Linked DNA regions of Schizosaccharomyces pombe. The main gene of each other region encodes a partner of the protein of the gene in region 4 in a complex. Each region holds a gene or a part of one and is shown on either strand. Other genes may lie near its edges. The genes, in order: mrpl37, mrpl1, mrpl40 and mrpl10.

Evidence for each region.
Region 1: mrpl10 (region 4) and mrpl37 share a complex: the UniProt entries of both Schizosaccharomyces pombe proteins name them as parts of the mitochondrial large ribosomal subunit.
Region 2: mrpl10 (region 4) and mrpl1 share a complex: the UniProt entries of both Schizosaccharomyces pombe proteins name them as parts of the mitochondrial large ribosomal subunit.
Region 3: mrpl10 (region 4) and mrpl40 share a complex: the UniProt entries of both Schizosaccharomyces pombe proteins name them as parts of the mitochondrial large ribosomal subunit.

Annotation. Positions count from the first base shown.
Region 1 is NC_003421.2:1,252,614-1,257,086, forward strand, and holds mrpl37 (mitochondrial 54S ribosomal protein mL54), read left to right. Parts: upstream 1-1,704; 5' UTR 1,705-1,931; coding exon 1,932-2,351; 3' UTR 2,352-2,613; downstream 2,614-4,473. Other genes in the region: cca2 (ATP/CTP tRNA nucleotidyltransferase), read left to right, coding at 2,667-3,977, 4,037-4,180; protein mug117, read right to left, coding at 4,320-4,473. UniProt on the Schizosaccharomyces pombe protein: Component of the mitochondrial ribosome (mitoribosome), a dedicated translation machinery responsible for the synthesis of mitochondrial genome-encoded proteins, including at least some of the essential transmembrane subunits of the mitochondrial respiratory chain.
Region 2 is NC_003424.3:1,790,292-1,795,260, reverse strand, and holds mrpl1 (mitochondrial 54S ribosomal protein uL1m), read left to right. Parts: upstream 1-2,809; 5' UTR 2,810-3,017; coding exon 3,018-3,779; 3' UTR 3,780-3,861; downstream 3,862-4,969. Other genes in the region: poly(A)-binding protein Crp79, read left to right, coding at 289-409, 495-672, 764-1,238, 1,310-2,668; protein saf5, read right to left, coding at 3,983-4,636. UniProt on the Schizosaccharomyces pombe protein: Component of the mitochondrial ribosome (mitoribosome), a dedicated translation machinery responsible for the synthesis of mitochondrial genome-encoded proteins, including at least some of the essential transmembrane subunits of the mitochondrial respiratory chain.
Region 3 is NC_003424.3:2,670,770-2,675,438, reverse strand, and holds mrpl40 (mitochondrial 54S ribosomal protein uL24m), read right to left. Parts: upstream 1,647-4,669; 5' UTR 1,460-1,646; coding exon 620-1,459; 3' UTR 501-619; downstream 1-500. Other genes in the region: ESCRT III complex subunit Did4, read left to right, coding at 41-340; SBDS family ribosome maturation protein Sdo1, read left to right, coding at 2,334-2,461, 2,656-3,268; Brix domain-containing protein Rpf1, read left to right, coding at 3,990-4,669. UniProt on the Schizosaccharomyces pombe protein: Component of the mitochondrial ribosome (mitoribosome), a dedicated translation machinery responsible for the synthesis of mitochondrial genome-encoded proteins, including at least some of the essential transmembrane subunits of the mitochondrial respiratory chain.
Region 4 is NC_003423.3:1,820,520-1,825,147, reverse strand, and holds mrpl10 (mitochondrial 54S ribosomal protein uL15m), read right to left. Parts: upstream 2,246-4,628; 5' UTR 2,213-2,245; coding exon 1,448-2,212; 3' UTR 1,191-1,447; downstream 1-1,190. Other genes in the region: Nop52 family nucleolar protein, read right to left, coding at 47-335, 392-499, 544-586; U6 snRNP-associated protein Lsm3, read left to right, coding at 2,475-2,492, 2,534-2,626, 2,697-2,714, 2,769-2,883, 2,985-3,022; translation elongation factor EF-Tu Tuf1, read left to right, coding at 3,739-3,873, 3,925-4,628. UniProt on the Schizosaccharomyces pombe protein: Component of the mitochondrial ribosome (mitoribosome), a dedicated translation machinery responsible for the synthesis of mitochondrial genome-encoded proteins, including at least some of the essential transmembrane subunits of the mitochondrial respiratory chain.

The DNA.
Region 1 (4,473 bases), on a different chromosome or scaffold from region 4:
CAATTGCAATATCTTTTACCTATATTTAAATGGCACTATGTAGAAAGCTGACAAGAGAATATTTTAACAAGCAATCCCGAATCATCAAAAATAAATTAAAATAATTTTAAAAAATAAAAAAAATAAATCGCAGAAGCACAAAGCATAATACTATTGATAAGTTCAATGTAATTTAATTTGGTTCATTACTATTTAAAACTAAATCCCCATCTTATAGTAATATAGAAATAAACAGAAAGTATATACAATTTCTCTACAGGATGAAAGAAAAAAAAACCCCCAGAAAATAAATGAGGGAAAAAAATAGGATATCAAATATTGATCGAGGAAATCACAAGCATTTCCTTCAGTGTAAGAAAAGCAAAATAGGGAAAATCGTAATTGTACATTGAAAGCATACATTTTTACAAAATTGTAAAATTTCTTTATTTAAATCGTTTCCAAAATGAACCGGAAATGTTATAAGCAAAAATATACTAAATAAATGAATTTAAAACTATTTCGGTACACTAAATAATCTCTTATAAATTTATTAAATTTAAATACATAATCTACTTAATACTAATCGTCTCAACGGAGGACAACGTGGCCGAGTGGTTTTAAGGCGTTCGCCTGCTATTCTGTAGCCCAGCGGATTCCCTTTGGGAGCGCAGGTTCGAATCCTGCCGTTGTCGGCATGATTTTTTTTATTTGTAAAATGAATATCGAAGAGCCTTAGAGAAATATGTTATAGGAATTTATCGAGGCAAATAATGAAATTCTAGTAAGAGAATAACCTGATGGTTAAAGCTTGTTTATTGATCTTCTTGCAGATTTTTTATTGTTTTCATGAGATGGATAATACTTTAAATGATTTATGTTCTATCTAAAGTAAAACTTGGCGAAATTTTAAGAAAACACCCATAAAGGTGTAACTATTAACTAAGAAGAGTTCGCAAGTCAGTGATTTATTTTTTTCAATTGTCCCGAGTGACTTAAGACACCGACTAGTACAATTTGTCAAATTTATTGTAAATCTATTTTTCTTTAACAAAAAGTGATTGCAAGCGCTTCTCGATCCTCAATGGATCAGTCGCTAACTGTGTGGAATAAGTACATTTCGCAAGTAAAAAAAATGGTAATTCTGACGTATCGAATGAAGGACATAACGTTAAACATAATTGAATACTAATTCTAAAATCTATATATGTTCTCTTTATTTAAACCGTACTACTAGATTGTTCCTCAATATCCCAAATAACACCTAATGGTTCTTTACCATTTACAACAATCAAGTGATTGTCGAAGAAACATTGCAAGTTGAGAAAAATGAATGAAGTAGAAATATTCTAATGTGCTAATGATTTATTGTAAAAATAAATCATATTATTTTATTTCTTTGACTTTCTTACATAGTCGAACACAGACAAATACAATTTTCGATTAACATTTCTAGAGTCTCACTTGATAGATTGTGCTTTACTTTATTTCATAAGTATTCCTATAGTACTCAAGCGTGCTTGGTATTATTATTGTAAACTTAATGACATTCTTGTTAGAACGACACCCCATTTGAACTTAGCAATAGTTTATAATTATGAAAAAAACAAAAACAAAAATTTTATTTTGATTCCCAAATTGTAAACAGACGCTTGAAACCCTTACATGTACCTGTGTCTGCTACCCATCTGTACATGAGTTGTATAGTAACGTCCAGGTTGTCCCATAACCAAACTCCTTGAACTTTGAAAGCGGCTCTTTATAGAGTCATTTTTTATTTCCTATAGTACTTGAAATAATATTATTCTCTAAAACTTTTCACTCAAAGAGCAGGACGTATTTGCTCCTTATATATGCGAAGGCGTTACTATTGACCTTTTTCATCGCCTTTGATCCACTTTTGGTTAAAGATTTTATCCTCCTTGCAAAGTTTTTTGTTTACTGTCTAAGCAATGCCATTTATCGAGTCAATGGCCCCTTTATCGCGCGCAATTACTCGCGGTATCTCTCAATTCTCATGCTACTCTAACACATTGGTTTTAAGAAGTTCCCGTAACTCTTCTTCATCATTAGTTAAACGAAGTTATGTATCCTCTCGTGTTTCACCCAAAAAGCCACAGCATAATTCGGATGCCACTTCTTCAGCTCAAAAAGTCGCTAATAAAACGCACACTAGTTCTGTCCTTCCAGGTACTATATTAAAGGGACTGTGTATAAAGGCGGGTGGCGTCGACCCTGTAGCTCGTGAAGATCATGAATATCCAGAATGGTTATGGTCTCTTCTGGATGAGCCAGCTCCCAATTCTAAGACTGCCCGAAGTCATGCTCGTAAAAGTGCCATTCGAGCGGCTAACTTTCTTACTAAAAAATAATTACCTTTTAGAATGTTTGAAACTCTTAATTTTCCATCTCCTCTCTATCCTTATGAGCATTTGATCCATTCTTTTTGTTTACTTTTTTTGAGGCATATGACATTCGCTACTTTACCATTTCCCAGAATCCAAAAATCATTTTAAAATAAAAATATATTAAATAACCTTATATCAGTGATATACATTTGTAGCATAAAAAAAATTACTACTACATGTCCTTCTTTAAGAGAAGCATATTCAAACCTCAACCTGCCAACCTTAGAGAAACCGGTATTGCCCAAACTGTGTATCGTTTATGGAATTTGGCTGACGAAAATGTATTCTAGAATTGTATTGAACGATGTTGAGAAAAAAGTTGTTAATCTTTTGAAAAAGACTGCTGATTTTATTGAATCTAAATCCAGCAGCAGTTCGTCATTGGAAGTTAGATTGGCAGGAGGATGGGTTCGCGATAAACTTCTTGGGCTTTCTAGTGACGATTTAGACGTTACGTTGAATAAAGTTACCGGTGTTGACTTTGCAAATTCAATATTTGAGTATGTTCACTCTCTCGACTCTGACTCAGTTATTCCATATAAAGACGCACTTGGCAAGCTAACTGTCAATCCCGATCAAAGCAAGCATTTAGAAACTGCTACCTTATCCCTATTTGACCTTGATATTGATTTTGTAGGACTTCGTGCAGAATCATATGATGATAAAAGTCGAATTCCTAGCGTTACCCCAGGAACTGTTGAAACAGATGCATTGAGAAGAGACTTCACGGTTAACACCCTATTCTTTAACATACGAACAGAAAAAATAGAGGACATTACAAAGCGAGGATATAAAGATTTGCAAACCAAAGTGTTGGTCACGCCCATTTCACCTCTCCAATCATTTTTGGAAGATCCCTTACGAATTTTGAGAGGCATTCGGTTTGCATCCAGATTTGAATTTACAATTGATCCGTCGGTCGTTTCCGCTATCCAAGATCCGAAAGTATGTAAAGCTTTTGAAAAAAAGGTTAGCAAGGAACGTGTAGGAGAGGAAATTGAGAAAATGTTGAAGGGTGCAAACGCGAAGCTAGCACTTCAACTGTTATATTCAACGAACACGTATCAGTTTACGTTCGATACTTTGCCAGCTGAAAAAGAATTTCAAATTCCAAAGGCATTGGAAGCTACCGAGTCTTTATTTCAGAGTCTTGCATTGACGTTTCCTAAACTTATGAAATTAAGTGAAGATGAGAAAATTGGGCTATGGCTATATGTTGCTCTAATTCCATGGTCTAGTCAAACTGTTATGGTTAAGAAAAAACAATTTTATATTCCTGCAATCATCGCAAAAGACAAGTTGAAGCTCAGAAGTACATATGTTAACCAGTTGAATCAGTGCTGCACATTCAATCCGATATTCGATGAATTAGTTAACGATACTTCCACTAAAAATTGCTCATCTATTGGCAGCTTAATACGACAATTGAATAAATCCTGGGAAGTCGTGTTTTTAACATCGGTCATATATAGTTGTTGTAAAACACCGGCAGCATCTGTATCAAATACATTTAGTTCTTATAAATCTCTATATGACTTTATTTATGACAAAAATTTACAAAATGCTTATAACATGAAGCCATTATTAGACGTATGTAATTCTTTTATTTCTGTTAACAATATTGAGCGAATAAGCTAACAATTTTTTAGGGAAAACAGATCATGAAAAATGTGGGAGTTAAGCCTGGCCCGCAGCTGAAAGAGACTATGGATAACATGATTTCCTGGCAATTTAAACACCCTGAAGGAAGTGTCGAAGATTGTGTTGCATACCTTCAATCCCTAAAAATATAAGAAAAGACAATCACTGTTTAGATAACTTAATCGCACAAAAGATTAAAAGAATAAAAGTCACCAGTAATCGTCGTCCTTTTTGGAAATTCGTATTTATGATATTTATGCTTAATTCAGAATGGATCCTTTCCTCTTATTATTACCAATCTCTAACCGGCTCTCGATAATCGTATTCGCTGGTGCTTGGTGTAATTTCGGTACAGTCTGGATAACAGTAGTTCAATTTGACATAGCATCTTGTGTTTTCATTATCATTATTAAAAAAACGAGTTCCACAAGCGGAACATTGCAAA
Region 2 (4,969 bases), on a different chromosome or scaffold from region 4:
TTATAAATGCGATTTGAGGATTTAGTAGAGATATGGATAAAACAGATATGAACCAAACTGCATGAATATTAGGAAATCAAGTTGTAAATATAAAACAAGCATTTTTAAAAAAAAACAAAAAATATTACTCTAAAAATGTTAAGAGGTCAATTTAAGGTTTGTTTACTCTCATTTGTTATGGTGGTAATAGTTTCAGTCATGCATCATCGAAATGTAAACAAACAGCGATCCTATATATACCAAAAACAACAACCATTCCTTTCCATCACACATCTTTTTTGAGATAAAATGAACAATTCAAAACTCTCTGTCCCCGGACAGTATGAAGATGAAAGCAGTACTATATATGTAGGAAATATAGATTCCCGACTTTCTGATGAAGAAATCATCAAACACTTTTCAAAATATGGTATGAACACACAAGTCAAGGATAAAAACACGAGGAAAAACATTAGAAAACATAAATAAAAGCGATATATTAATCAATTCTTTAGGACAAGTAGAATCCATCTTTCGTCGATTACTTGATAGTTTTTATCCTAAGGAAAAAGCGAAACCTTTTAAACCTCCTAAAAATGGAGTGCAATATGGGTTCGTCAAATTCGTTAATGCTGAAAGCATTGAAGAAGTTCTAAAGGACGCTAAAGGAATGACTCTGGGCCAAAGAAAATTGTAAGTGACTGAAGGGAAAAATTAGAGACAAGCATTACAGAAAAAAAAATCGAAAAATCATTCTCCAAAAAATTACTAACCTAAAAAAAAGGACCATTAAAGCAAGAGTCGTAAATCCTGCGAAACTGACAGACAAAAAATTCAAACCTAACGATACGTCAATCACTGCGAACGTGTTCAATCCTAGCATCCAAAACAATACAGATGAGGAAAACGTTAAGCCAGGACTCAAACAGTCTCAGATTAAGGAATTTATTCCAAATGTCGAAGAAAGAAATTGGGAAACTGTGAGAGGCATAAATTCGCGTAACCCGAAGCCAGAAACAACGCTTACCATACCGTCTCTTGGTTTGGAAGATATTAGCATGCAAGTTGTACCAAATGCCTTCGCTTCTACGTTACCCCTTAGTATCTTGAACCTACCTGCCGAAGTCACACCGATTGACTTATATAACCACTTTAAACAGGCTGGTGTAGTAAAAGGGACGGCGGTCAGCCAGTTTCTTGACCAAAGAGGGTTCCGGTATGGCGAAGTGATTATGGATTCAGTTGAATCATGTCAAAATGTAAGCTCAATATGAAGAGAAAACCCCAATATTTGCATAATCTATTTCATGATACTAACCTCATTATTAAGGCAATAGAAAAATTAAATAACGTTCCATACAAAGGAAGCATTTTAGAGGTCAGTATAAAAAATAAAGCCTCTTCTTCAGTGAAGTCAATTCCCACAACGCCGACTGGTGAAAGCTTATGGCCTTTCCCATCGGAAAACGCTAACAAAACTCAAATAAATATCGAAAATGCTACATGTTCGAAGATGACATGGATTATGGGCTCACCAACTAAGGAGAAAAGCCAATGGGGTAGCGTTTCAACTACCGGTGTTTCAAATCAGCAAAATCATCCAGCCGCTTGGAACCCAGATAATAAACCTCAGTCAATCGTGCATTGGGACTCTTTACGTGAAAGCTCTCCAAGTATCCCTAATTCTCCTATTGACCCTTCAAATCTATACGTTAAAAATTTAGATGATACCGTCATCACATGCAAGAGTCAGCTGGAAGATTTATTCTCACCCTTCGGGTCGATTTTGTCTTCCATGTTAGCATGCTATCCAAATTCAGGAATCTCCAAAGGTTATGGTTTCGTAGCGTTTCGTCAAATAGAGGCTGCCGTTAGAGCCAAAGACACATTGAATGGAATGATGGTTGGGAAAAAAAGGATTTTCGTTTGCTTCGCGGAGCGAAAGTCTGACAGAATTCGTAGATTGCAAGCATTTTTTGCAAACAAACCTACTTCAGAACAAACAGCGCAGCAAGACAACAAAGCTTTGTTCGTCAAACCAGAAAGAAGCTCTACTGTTACCATCCGAAAGCCAATAGAGTCTTCTACAAACAAAATCTCTGAGAATCCCACGACCCTTTCAAGTAAGGTTGAAAATAAGAATGAGCCTAAGACTGGTGAAAACAAAGAACCCAGTCAGACAAATGAATATGTTAACTGTAAGCAAGAAAATAAGGAACTTAGTGGACAGTTATCAGGCAACTTGGATATAAAGAAAGAAGCAGGAAAATTGAGCCATGACGGAGAACAAGGAAACTTGTTAAAACCATTGGTATTCCATGCTAACACAAAACTAAATAACCGAGGGTCTGCTAAGATGGGTTCAACAGCCACCAACTTGAAGAAGATACAAGACATGCTTCACAACAAAAAGCTGAGTAATGCATACTTTGTGCCAAGAGCAAGAGCAACAACCTGTACAACTCTTACGTACGTAACAGTTGAGCCCTCACATTTCCAAGATGAGGACTGTAATGAGTCAACGAACATGCTTTCACTTGTCGGGTACATGGACAGCTATCCAGAAGCTACATCCAATATCCAAAAAATGAATTCCTATCATATTAAAGATTCAAATAAGGAAAATTTTTTATCAACAACAAAGGTTAACAACAATTCACCAACAACTATTCAGTTGACGCAGATTTAACAAGATGCGGTGAAGATATAACTATGAAACAAAATTCATAATGCTATATCCCTCAAAACTCCGATGAACAAACTTTTAACTCCTTAAAATATATACATCGTGAACGGATGGATTTGCTAGTATAACCCTACAGTATCTTACAACTACCACAACGTGGAATTTAAACGAAACCGTTTATTTTTAGTCTTTAATCAAAAACATTATAAGGAAATTTGATTTGAAAGATAATTCTTTATTAATTCGAAAGTTGACAGCTGGATCAGATTTGTTTAGAGATTTATGATTTTAGCAGGTTCATTGACTGACATCCAGTAGCTTGGTGACAGTTTGACGAACCAGATTAAAAACCATGAGTTCATTAATAGCGTTAGGTAAACGGCAAACATTATTGTCACATAATGAATTTTTAAATTTTAAAAATCAAAAGGGTTTCTGCAAAAGGTTTATTTCTCAACTAAACAAGAAATCCAATTTTCCCGCTCTTGCGATGACAGTTCCTGAAGCCACAAAATATCTCAAATCTGTGAGCATTTCTGTTCCATATGTTGGGTCTTATATGCTTTCAATTGCTTTAAAAAGTAATCGACGCGCTCCGTCAGCTCGTGGTCAAATTGCCTTTCCTCATCCATTTCAAGAGCCTCCTAAAATTTGTGTGTTTGCTAAAGGTGCAGCTGCAGATGAAGCTTTAAAATTGGGTGCAACCTATGTTGGTGCAGAAGACTTAGTAAAAAAAATTCAAACAGAGCCCCTTGAATTTTCAAAGTGCTTTGCTCATCCCAACTCGGCAGAATTACTACCACAAGTTGCTAAATTATTAGGATCAAAACGTCTTATGCCTTCAATAAAACGAGGTACTATATCAGATGAATTGAAGCCACTCATTGAATCTGCCCTCACAGCTGTTGACTATCGGCAAAATGATGCAGGCTCGATAAATTTGCCGGTTGGAAAACTAGGGTTCAGCGACAAGGAGCTACAAGAAAACATCGAAGCACTTGTATCAAATGTTCGGTTTACTTTGGCCAAACTGCCTGGAAAAGTTAAAGTTACCGTAAAGCATGTTCATCTTTCCGCCTCACATGCTATTGCAATTCCTCTCCAGTATAAATAATGATTAAAATGTTATTGCATGGGAAATTTAGTCTACAGTCTTGTCATTTGTAATATGTATTACATGATTAATTTTGTACAAATTAGTGAAATGTGTAATGATATTTTATCTAGTAAATTTAGAAGCCTGTTTATATTTATTTATTATCATAAACTACTTTTTAAAAAGTATGAATGAAACGTTAGAATACAACATTATGAAAGTTACTCTGTGCGATGCCATTTCAGAACAGGCGATTCCGGAGAATCAAATCTGTTATCACAAGCTGAGGTATCTACGTTTTCAGCCGTAACCCACTGGTGATTTGGATCAAAAAATAAGGACATAGGGTTTCCCATACTCGCGTTTTCAACATCATTATCTGAGGAAAAAGTGTCCGGATGTAGAGATTGGCAAGTACAAAGAGCCTGGTAACATGAATCAACATCAGTAACATATAATGTTAGTTCTAAAAAATCATCTGTGAATTCATTTTCATCTTCGGTAGAAGGAGCTTCATGCAATGTTCCTGACGACCGTTCAAATTTAAGAATGTGATCTAGCAAGGGTCGAATGGCTTCACCCTCTAATTGAACATATACATATGGCTTATCCTTGCTTTGTTTCGCATGAAGAGTAATGGTTTCATATGGAATTTTCCAGCCAGAATTCTGTTCTTCATCAAAAAGGATAAAGCTCTGTGAAGTTACTAATAAAGTTATCAATTTGCCCAAAGGAAAACTTTCCTCATCACTTCTAATTTTATAGGGGACTGTTTTTTCTTCAAAATAAACGATTTCTTGATTTGGCAACAACTTTTCACCATTTTCAACTTTGCGAATTAGGTCCTTTGGAAGTGAGTCAATTTTGGTAATCATAATTACTTCTTGCTTCCAATAGGTATTTAAGCATAAAAATTATTAAAAAACAGTAATAAGGCCACCTCTACCTGATAATTTATTGAAAGAAAAGGTTTACTGTGCGTTGTATTCTTTTGAAGTACTCAAATACAATATCTTCGCATATTAAGCATTTCGCAAAATCGAAAATATATTTCTACTCTTAACCACACGAATTTTTTATAAATTGAACCATTATGCCAAACAGGATATCGATTTTACTCAAATACTTTTGATATGCAATTTTCGTAAATGACAAGCTAGTTATTCATTGCAATTACAAAACAAACTCATGAATATAAATAGTTTTGT
Region 3 (4,669 bases), on a different chromosome or scaffold from region 4:
CACCTTAATATCGAAAAATATAGAACTAACTTTTACAAAGTTATTGACAGGGATGAACAAAAGCATGAATATACCGGCAATGGCTCGTATCACTCAGCAATTCGAGCGTGAAAATGAAATTATGGAACAGAGACAAGAAATGATTGATGAAAATATGGACGATGCTTTAGAAGAAGATGACGAAGAGGAAGCTGATGAACTTGTCAATAAAGTGTTGGATGAAATTGGAGTCGATTTGTCTCAAGGATTGCCAGATGCTGCGACCCAAATTGGTACGGTACCGGAGTTAAAGACTGAAGACAATTTACAAGCCAGATTGGATGAACTGGCAAAGCGTTAATTTTCGCACAAGAGATTAATGGACTTTAAAGATCTTGATTTGTATAGATTTTCTACATTGATTAGTAAAAGTTTTTCTAGGTTAACGTGTAAACTTCAAATACTTCACTTTCATTGAAATCACTTATCACTTACTCTACTAAGTTAAATATATTTAAGTTTCTTGAAAAATTTTTTAGAAGAGTTTACAAAAGTTTATTAAGCTTTATAACCTAGAGATTGTGAATCATTATGTAATGTTATAAAAAAATGCTTGCAACGACCAAACATCGTTTTTGTTTTAATCACTGTAAGTATTAGGAGAGATGGGTTTTTTTATTAAATCTTCAGCAGCAGTCTCTGCTCGGACAAGATCTTTAGCAATTTCAGTAAAATCATCATTGTTCTTTTTATATCCCCATATACGATCTAAACGGCGAGACCAATTGGCTCGTAAATCGCCAATTGCAAACGGAGGAAGAGGAGGCTCCGATAAGCTAGGAGACCAAGTAACTTTACTAACTACTGGATTCTTAGTATCGAGTTTACCTTCGGGATCTTTAGGCTTATCTTCAGTCTTGGGACGAGGAAGATGAATAGTATGAATTTGTACTCCTTCAATATTAGGCCGAATAATGGACCGGAGATTAGTTGAGGAATGCTTTTTAAGCTTAACTGGAATAAGAACTGGTTCCCCGGCGTCAGTCTTTGCATGCGCAAGAAGACGCACATTTGCATAATGTACTTCGTGAGCAATATCAATTACTGGATCTTGGTTATCTTCAGGCTTATTTCGCAAAAGAAAAATTGGTACTTTGACGGATCTCACATTAACCCCCTCTATGGTAATACCGTTTGTGTATTTGTTTGTCTCAACAACACGGCCCCATTTTCCTTTCAGAGGTCCTTGATGAACATATACATAATCCCCTTTAAAAATATGCCAGAAAGGGACTCTGTCAGCTGGCTTTCCAAACGGTAACTCGGGTTTAGCGGATTTATCGTCTTTAACAGTTGGATCAGATTTATTGAGGTGTTCGCGTATTTTGGTTCGCATATGCAACGGTAAAGGCTTTTTCATTTTTAAGACGTTAGTACCAGGGCCTCGGAGCCTTGGAATTAATTTACGCAAGTCTCTCATTCTGCTCAAAAAGTTTTATAATATTTAAATAACTAACGGTGGTACATCACTTGTACAGAGGAATTTACTACGCTGTAATGTTGGAACGAAAGTAAAACCTCTAGACAGGATAAATATGGCCAAATATAAGAGAAAAAATAAGAATGCTATGAAACAGTAATGTGTATCCTGCTGGTAGTTTGCAGTTGTTATTTGAGTACTCTCTTCGTCAATAAGTAAAGAAATGGATCATTGTTACACAAAGGCAACTTTGCGATACGTGGTTAAGTTTCATTATTTAAAATTTGCTTTTGCTTTTGCACGCAATATTCTACAGCTTCGACATCGTTAACCAACATTAAAATGATGTGTACTCGTTAAGACAATGTCATTCTATCTATTTGTTTATAAGTTTAAAATTGAAAATGTTAAGCGAAATCGTATAGAAACGCTTCGCAAGTGGTTGTGTTAATATACTAGGATGTAAGATTGAAGTTTTGTCGGATAACTCAAACTTAGTCGATACTTCTATTGTTTTCTACTTTTTTTTTAGTATTTGCTGAATTTAGGTAATAATTTTTAAAAGCCTAATATCATTCGTGATTTGTAAACTGGTTTAGAAAACCCGACAAATAACTTGCACTTATATTAAATATTTAACCATAAGGTTTTCCAAGATTATGTTAACATCCGAAAAATGATTGGAACCATCCTTTTGCCTTTCAGGCTCGCAAATATCAAATTTTTGTTTAATTTTCAGATAAATCTAAATACCGATATATAGTGTATGGATTGTTAACCTGTTTAACAGATTTAGGCGTTGGATTAAAACACTATAATTAGAGAAGGTGAGAATAACAAAAAATAATCCAAAAAAGTACCCATCTTGAGCAAAATGGTTATTAGTCAACCTGTTGGACAAATTCGTCTAACCAATGTGTCCGTTGTAAAATATAAGAAAGGAGGGAAAAGATTTGAAGTTGCTTGTTATAAAAATAAAGTTACAGAATGGAGAAACAAAATGTATGCATGATTTCATTAAATTAAGCTACTGTAATTAGTGAGAGTCAGCCTTTGCTACAGATAAATATTCTTTAAGATCAGCAGAAAATTATAACAAGCTATCTTTTTGAATTCACGTGTCTTGTCGACTGGTGTCAACAACTCAATAACTCGTACAATTTTTTTTGATCAAAACCATAGCTAACCAAGTTTAGTGAAACAGATCTGGATGAAGTTTTACAAATCCACAATGTGTTTAACAATGTTTCTAAAGGACATGTAGCTAGCCGACAGGATTTGAAAAAGGCTTTTGGTACAGATGATATAGATAAAATTATTTTAGAAATTTTGCAAAAAGGAGATTTTCAAGTAGGTGAAAAGGAAAGACATCATCAAATGTCTTCAACTTATCGCGATATTGTCTCCCATGTTACTGCGATGTGCATGGATCCTAATTCTAAACGACCTTATCCAGCATCTATAATTGAAAAAGCATTATCTGATTGTGGCTTTTCTGTCTCTACCAGTAAAACTGCAAAGTCCCAAGCTCTGGAAGCTATTAAGAAATTGCAAGAAAAAAACGAAATTCCTATCGTCCGTGCGCGTATGCGCATCAGAATAGTGGTGGATGTCAAACAGGGAAAAGCTTTACGAGAGCGTTTACGCTCTTTAGCTGATGAAATTGAAGAAGAAAACATTGATGATGAATATGAGTGCATAGCTCTCGTGATTCCAGGGAATTATAAGTTGATAGATGAACTTGTCCGAAATGAGACCAAAAACCGAGGTATGGTTCAAGTACTCGACATGAGCGAGGCTAGGACTTAAAAAGGTATACAAATAACCTTTCTGAAAATACGCTCTATATGAATTCCCTAATCTGTTTTCCTCCTCCTTTTTGCTTACATTGTTCATTGGCTTTTGGTTTTGAAAAATTTTGCTATTAAAAGACACGTTCTGATTCGTTCTGGTTATCCAGAACATTATTTAATTTATCAATATAGCAATTCAGTTCAGAAGAAAGTAAAAAGAAAGTAAAGAAATGAAATTAAAAGACTATCGTCCCTTTCATTTCTGCTAGTTCCATTCAAAGCACGCATTCAAATGTGAAAATGAAAGTAGCGTGAGTGATTTGTAGAATGTTGAACCCTTACCACAATGCTTTCAGTTGTTCAACAATTTAATGATGAGGATATCTATAGTGTACGATTTCGGATTGTAATATCACCTATTTACAAACAGTAATTGTAACTAAAGTATACATTTTGCTTAACAGCAGTGTGATATAATACTGCGTTAATACTTTTAAGCAAATTTGACGAAATTCGTAGCATGTTCTTCAGATTCGGTATTTTGCGACATGGAATTGGATTGTGCAATAAGTTTTTGAGACTTCAAACCCATCGTATACTTTTTTTTAACTCTCTTTTATTTGTACTTAAGTTGCTCATTCTTATCTCAATTTTTTTTAGTTGCAATTTTTTGTAAGGATTTAAATTATTTCATTCTTAAATTTTAAATTTTGAGAGATTATACGCAACTTATTAAAATGGGGAAGATTAAAAACAAAATTGTCCGCCAACAGCAGTATATGAAGGCTCTTCATCAAAAAAATAAGGACAAGCTTGAAAGAAGAAAAGAACGTGCTAAAGAAGAAGAAAAAGACCCGGAAAAGAAGAGATTGCGACTTTCAGAAAATATTCCCGCTACTATTGAATCGAAACGAGTTTATGATGAAACTATCATAGAGGATAAACCCGATGAGGAACTTCAGGCGGAGTTAAAAGATGATGAGTTTTCTGCATACTTTAGTGAAGAAAGGAAAGTTCCGAAACTTTTGGTAACCACGAGTAAACGAGCCTCTAGAAAATGCTATGATTTTGCATCTGAGCTTTTAGATTGTTTTCCTAATGCTGAATTTCGAAAAAGAACCGGAGATATTGAAGTTCATGAAATCGCAGAAGCCGCTGCTAAGCGTGGTTACACCGATTTACTGGTATTAAATGAGGATCGTAAAAAAACAAATGCATTAACCCTTGTACACTTACCGAATGGCCCTTCGTTCTATTTTACCTTATCGAATCTCCAAACAGCAAAGGAAATTTCAAATCATGGCCGCTCCACTGGTCATATTCCAGAACTGATAATCAACAATTTCTCAACGAGACTTGGTATGACTGTTGCTCGAGCCTTTCAATCATTATTTATTCAAACGCCTCAAATTCAAGG
Region 4 (4,628 bases):
CTATATAATAAACAAATTCCCACACGCGGGAACGAAAACAACTTACTTAAAAGGACCATCCATCCACATCTGATTATATTCAGCCACTACTTTGTCCAGCAAAGCAGTTTTACTTCTTGTTTGAATATCCCGAAACGCAGCAGCACAAAATCTACGCATTAACAAGTAAAATTTGTCTGTTCGTAAAATATCAATTCCCGTCCATTCACGACCCATAGTTTCCCAAAAAGTAGATTGAAATAATATTCTATTGTCTATCCAGACAATTGGAACCAACGCGGCTAAATTATCTGAGAGTTTCTGTTGGTATAAGGGTTTATCAGCCATCCACATGCCTGCATATTAAAAAACAATTAGATGATTTACATTCATAACCCAAAAAAATTCATACAGTAAAATAAGCCCTTCCAAAGCTTGAGAAAGTCTAACCTTTCAAATTTTTTCTTTTGGCTTAAAAACCGCTGCAACGATTCAAGAGCCTTATCACGAGTTTTTCGATCTTACAGTGTTAGTACATTAATCATTTATATGTAAGAAATTTACCATTAGCTGCAAGTTTCTTAATAAACGGCGACGGAGCCGACATTGTTGGTTTATTGACAAAGTGTTGAAGCAGTTCTTAGCATCGTTCCTTCCATACTGCGTTTTAGTGCACTAATTGGAGAGTTGATAAATGTCCCTTTCTAATATATGAAATAAGGAGTTTCCCAGTCAATATGTATTATTTTTTTTAGAATTGACCGTTTATGTAGATTAATTGATCATAAGGTTAATGTACTACTATGGTTCGCTTACACTTCTATTACAAATGCCGGTTTTCTTAGTCATTCTTATATATAAGTCTTTAACCGTTCCATTGATCAACAAATGTTCTTTTTCTTCTTCCTTGCATGCCTTTGAAAAGGAGATCCTTTGAAAGATCTTTTCCTGTTGGATAGACAATCGGAGGATGAAAAAATTTTAAGAAAGCTTTAAACAAAAAAAGGCAAAAGATAATAATTTAACAAACAGTCGGCAGGGGTTCTTGATTATACAAAAAAAGTGCATGACTGCGAATGCTCAAATCTACTAATGAAGCAAATGAATAAATGTGAGAAAGGGTTTATCTGACAGAGAATGAACTGACTACAACAAGGGGATTTGGGGGATAAAGAAGGAAGCTATATTTTCGAATGAGAAAGGTATTCAAAATATTACTAATGGGTATTGAACTGTAAGCGAAAAAGTCAGTAGAGAGCTCAAACACCGAAATTGGAAACGTAATTATACAAATGTACTAAGAAAAGGATGCAGATATTTCCTTACAAAACTCAACATGTAACCCATCCAAGAAAGTAAAGGAGGCTGCACGGAATCATCAATAGACATAACAAAGTTTTAAGGACATATTAGGAAAGCGGGATTTTTGATGAACATATATCAAGTTCTGATGTAATATGGGAACTACTTATTTATCTTTAACAATCGGTTCGTAGGGGAATCGTTGGTCGCCATAATATAGCTCTCGAATATTTTTAACGTTGGCAAGATACCCTGCAAAATGTGGATTTGTGTAGTAGCGTATGTCTTTCTTTGAAACTGGAAGGGGAGGGCGAGGAGGTGTACGAAAACTTGAAGGATGCAAATGGGCACGTAGCGCCAACGGGCTGAAATATACTGTTGTTATACTGCCGCCTGCATTTTTGATTTGTTGTATAGCTTGAACTGTAGCCTTAGAAACTTCTATGGAAATTGCTGTTTTAAGGAGTCCAGGTTCGTCAGCAGTAAGTTCAACTCCATGTTTAATACCTCTACAGCATCTACTATCGAGGAGGTCTTTCATAGTAATTGTCTTGCTAGCATCCAATCTACCACGATCAATCCATTCCTGAACTCTCCCTAACCCCAGACGCAACGGTTTCTTCAAATGTCCCGTACTGTGACCAACTTTAGGAAATAATTTGGTGATAGGAGTTTGACCACCTTCAAAACCAGGTTTAATTCTCCGTCCACGCCTTTGACCAGATCCTTTATGACCACGTCCAGAGGTTTTTCCTAAACCGCTCGCAGGGCCTCTACCCACTCGCTTCTTTGACTGATAATTTGCACTGTTGTTTAAATCATTCAACATACTGATGCCGCGGAAACTAGCACCAAATCTTGGATAACCAGAGGATCTCAAAAAACCATGAAATGAAGAACTGCGACAAACCCGAGATAAAATATTAAACATTTTCCAATTCAAAAAACGGGTTTCGTCGAGTTTAGATGGTAATAAGTCCAAGGCTGCTGTTTACTATTACAAAAGATTCGGACACACACGAATACGTAAAATTCTATAGCGTCTCATAAAAATATCTTTATTACTATATTCAGCATCGCTGCACTGCGCAATTCGAATTTGTTTCCTCCTTTATTTCTTCCTGACATATGCCAGTGCATAATTGCAGCAACAGCGATCTTGCTTGGTAGATATAATAACCCTTTACTTTATAATGGAATCGGCACAGGCAGTAAGATTTATCAACAGTAACTCGGTAACTAATGTTTGTAGGTCGCGGAACCTCTTGATTTGGTGAGGCTTTCTTTGGATGAAATCGTTTATGTAAAATTACGGGGAGATAGAGAATTAAATGGCCGTCTTCATGTATGAAATTTTTTTAACGTTTCTTGAATATTTTTCTTATTCTGAATTGGTTATACTAACTCGATTGTAGGCCTATGATGAACATTTGGTATGAATCATATTCATAACTCGCATTTGGATGGATTACTTACACGTATTTTAGAATATGGTACTAGGAGATGCTGAAGAAATTGTAACTATTTTTGATGATGAAGAGACCGATAAGGACAAGGCCTTAAAAACGATTCGCAAACATTATGAGATGCTCTTTGTTCGTGGTACGTAGATTCTAAATATTACGCTCGAAAAGTTTGACCATGATTAAGCTTTCCTTTTCGAAACTGTTTTTCCTTTTTCGCCAAATGCTAATGAACTTTAGGTGATTCGGTTATTTTGATTGCTCCACCTCGTAATTAAAGGAACGAATAAAATTACTATACAAAGCTATCTACATATTTTTATCTCATTCTTTTGTTTAAAATTTTTCGCTTTAGAGGTGCTTCTTCGTACAATAGTAACGACTTTTGATTTGAGTATTCTATATTACAGAAAAGTTTGATTTTCCTTTATTCCGTTGGATGGATAGTTTTATCTTTCTTTAGTCACGCACCACTTCTTGTTATTCCTTACATCCTTTTACTTAATAAAAGCAAAAGACTCTTCGAAGTTAACCAACATTCACGAGACGCTGAGCTTTGTCATTGAGACTTTTCATTAATGGTTTTATTCTTTGTACTTGACAGGATAGTAAGCGATTTTTGCTTGCATGGTGGTTGCTCTTGCGATCTAGCAAAATCAGATTGACATTCCTTTAGAGATCAGAGACATAATACCATTCATTGTGCAAATAAAAAAAAACTATCAATTGCTTTCGATTTGGCGGTGTTGTTCACTAGTTCATCTAGTATTTTTTTATTATTAACAAGCGTATCATCATATATAGGCGTAGCGGTAAAATAGAACAAAATAAAATAAATTCTACAAATATTGATTGTATCCAAACACCCAGGACCATTTATTTCATGAAATGCTCGTGTCAATAGTATTCTCATAACGATGCGCACCGCTGAGACTTATTTCAAGGACAACACGAGCGCCAGAGACCTCTCCTCTGCCTACACGCTCCCTTCGTTATGAATTCAGCTAAAGCTACCTCTCTCCTCTTTCAAGGCTTTAGAAAAAATTGCTTGCGATTGAACCGCATTTCTTTCGCTTCAGGTTTGATTAACCGGTTCACCGTCCCAGCTCGAACTTATGCTGACGAAAAGGTATTTTTTTTTCATTCTTCATCTTTTTGATTACTTGTTAACTTTTTTAAGGTGTTCGTTAGAAAAAAGCCGCATGTCAATATTGGTACTATTGGTCATGTTGACCACGGTAAAACGACGTTGACGGCTGCTATTACTAAATGCCTTTCTGATCTTGGTCAAGCTAGTTTTATGGATTATAGTCAAATTGACAAGGCCCCCGAGGAAAAGGCACGTGGTATTACCATTTCATCTGCCCATGTTGAATACGAAACTGCTAATCGTCACTATGCCCATGTGGATTGTCCTGGTCACGCCGATTACATTAAGAATATGATTACTGGTGCTGCTACAATGGATGGCGCTATCATTGTTGTTTCTGCTACCGATGGTCAAATGCCTCAAACTCGTGAACATTTGCTTCTGGCTCGTCAAGTCGGTGTAAAGCAAATTGTTGTATACATCAATAAAGTCGATATGGTCGAGCCTGATATGATCGAGCTTGTCGAAATGGAAATGCGTGAGCTACTCTCCGAATACGGATTTGATGGTGACAATACTCCAATTGTTAGCGGCAGTGCTTTATGTGCCTTAGAGGGTCGTGAGCCTGAGATTGGTCTCAATAGTATTACTAAATTGATGGAAGCTGTTGATAGTTATATTACTCTTCCTGAAAGAAAAACGGATGTCCCTTTCTTGATGGCCATCGAGGACGTTTTTTCAATTTCAGGTCGCGGAACTGTAGTCACTGGCCGTGTCGAGCGCGGTACTTTAAA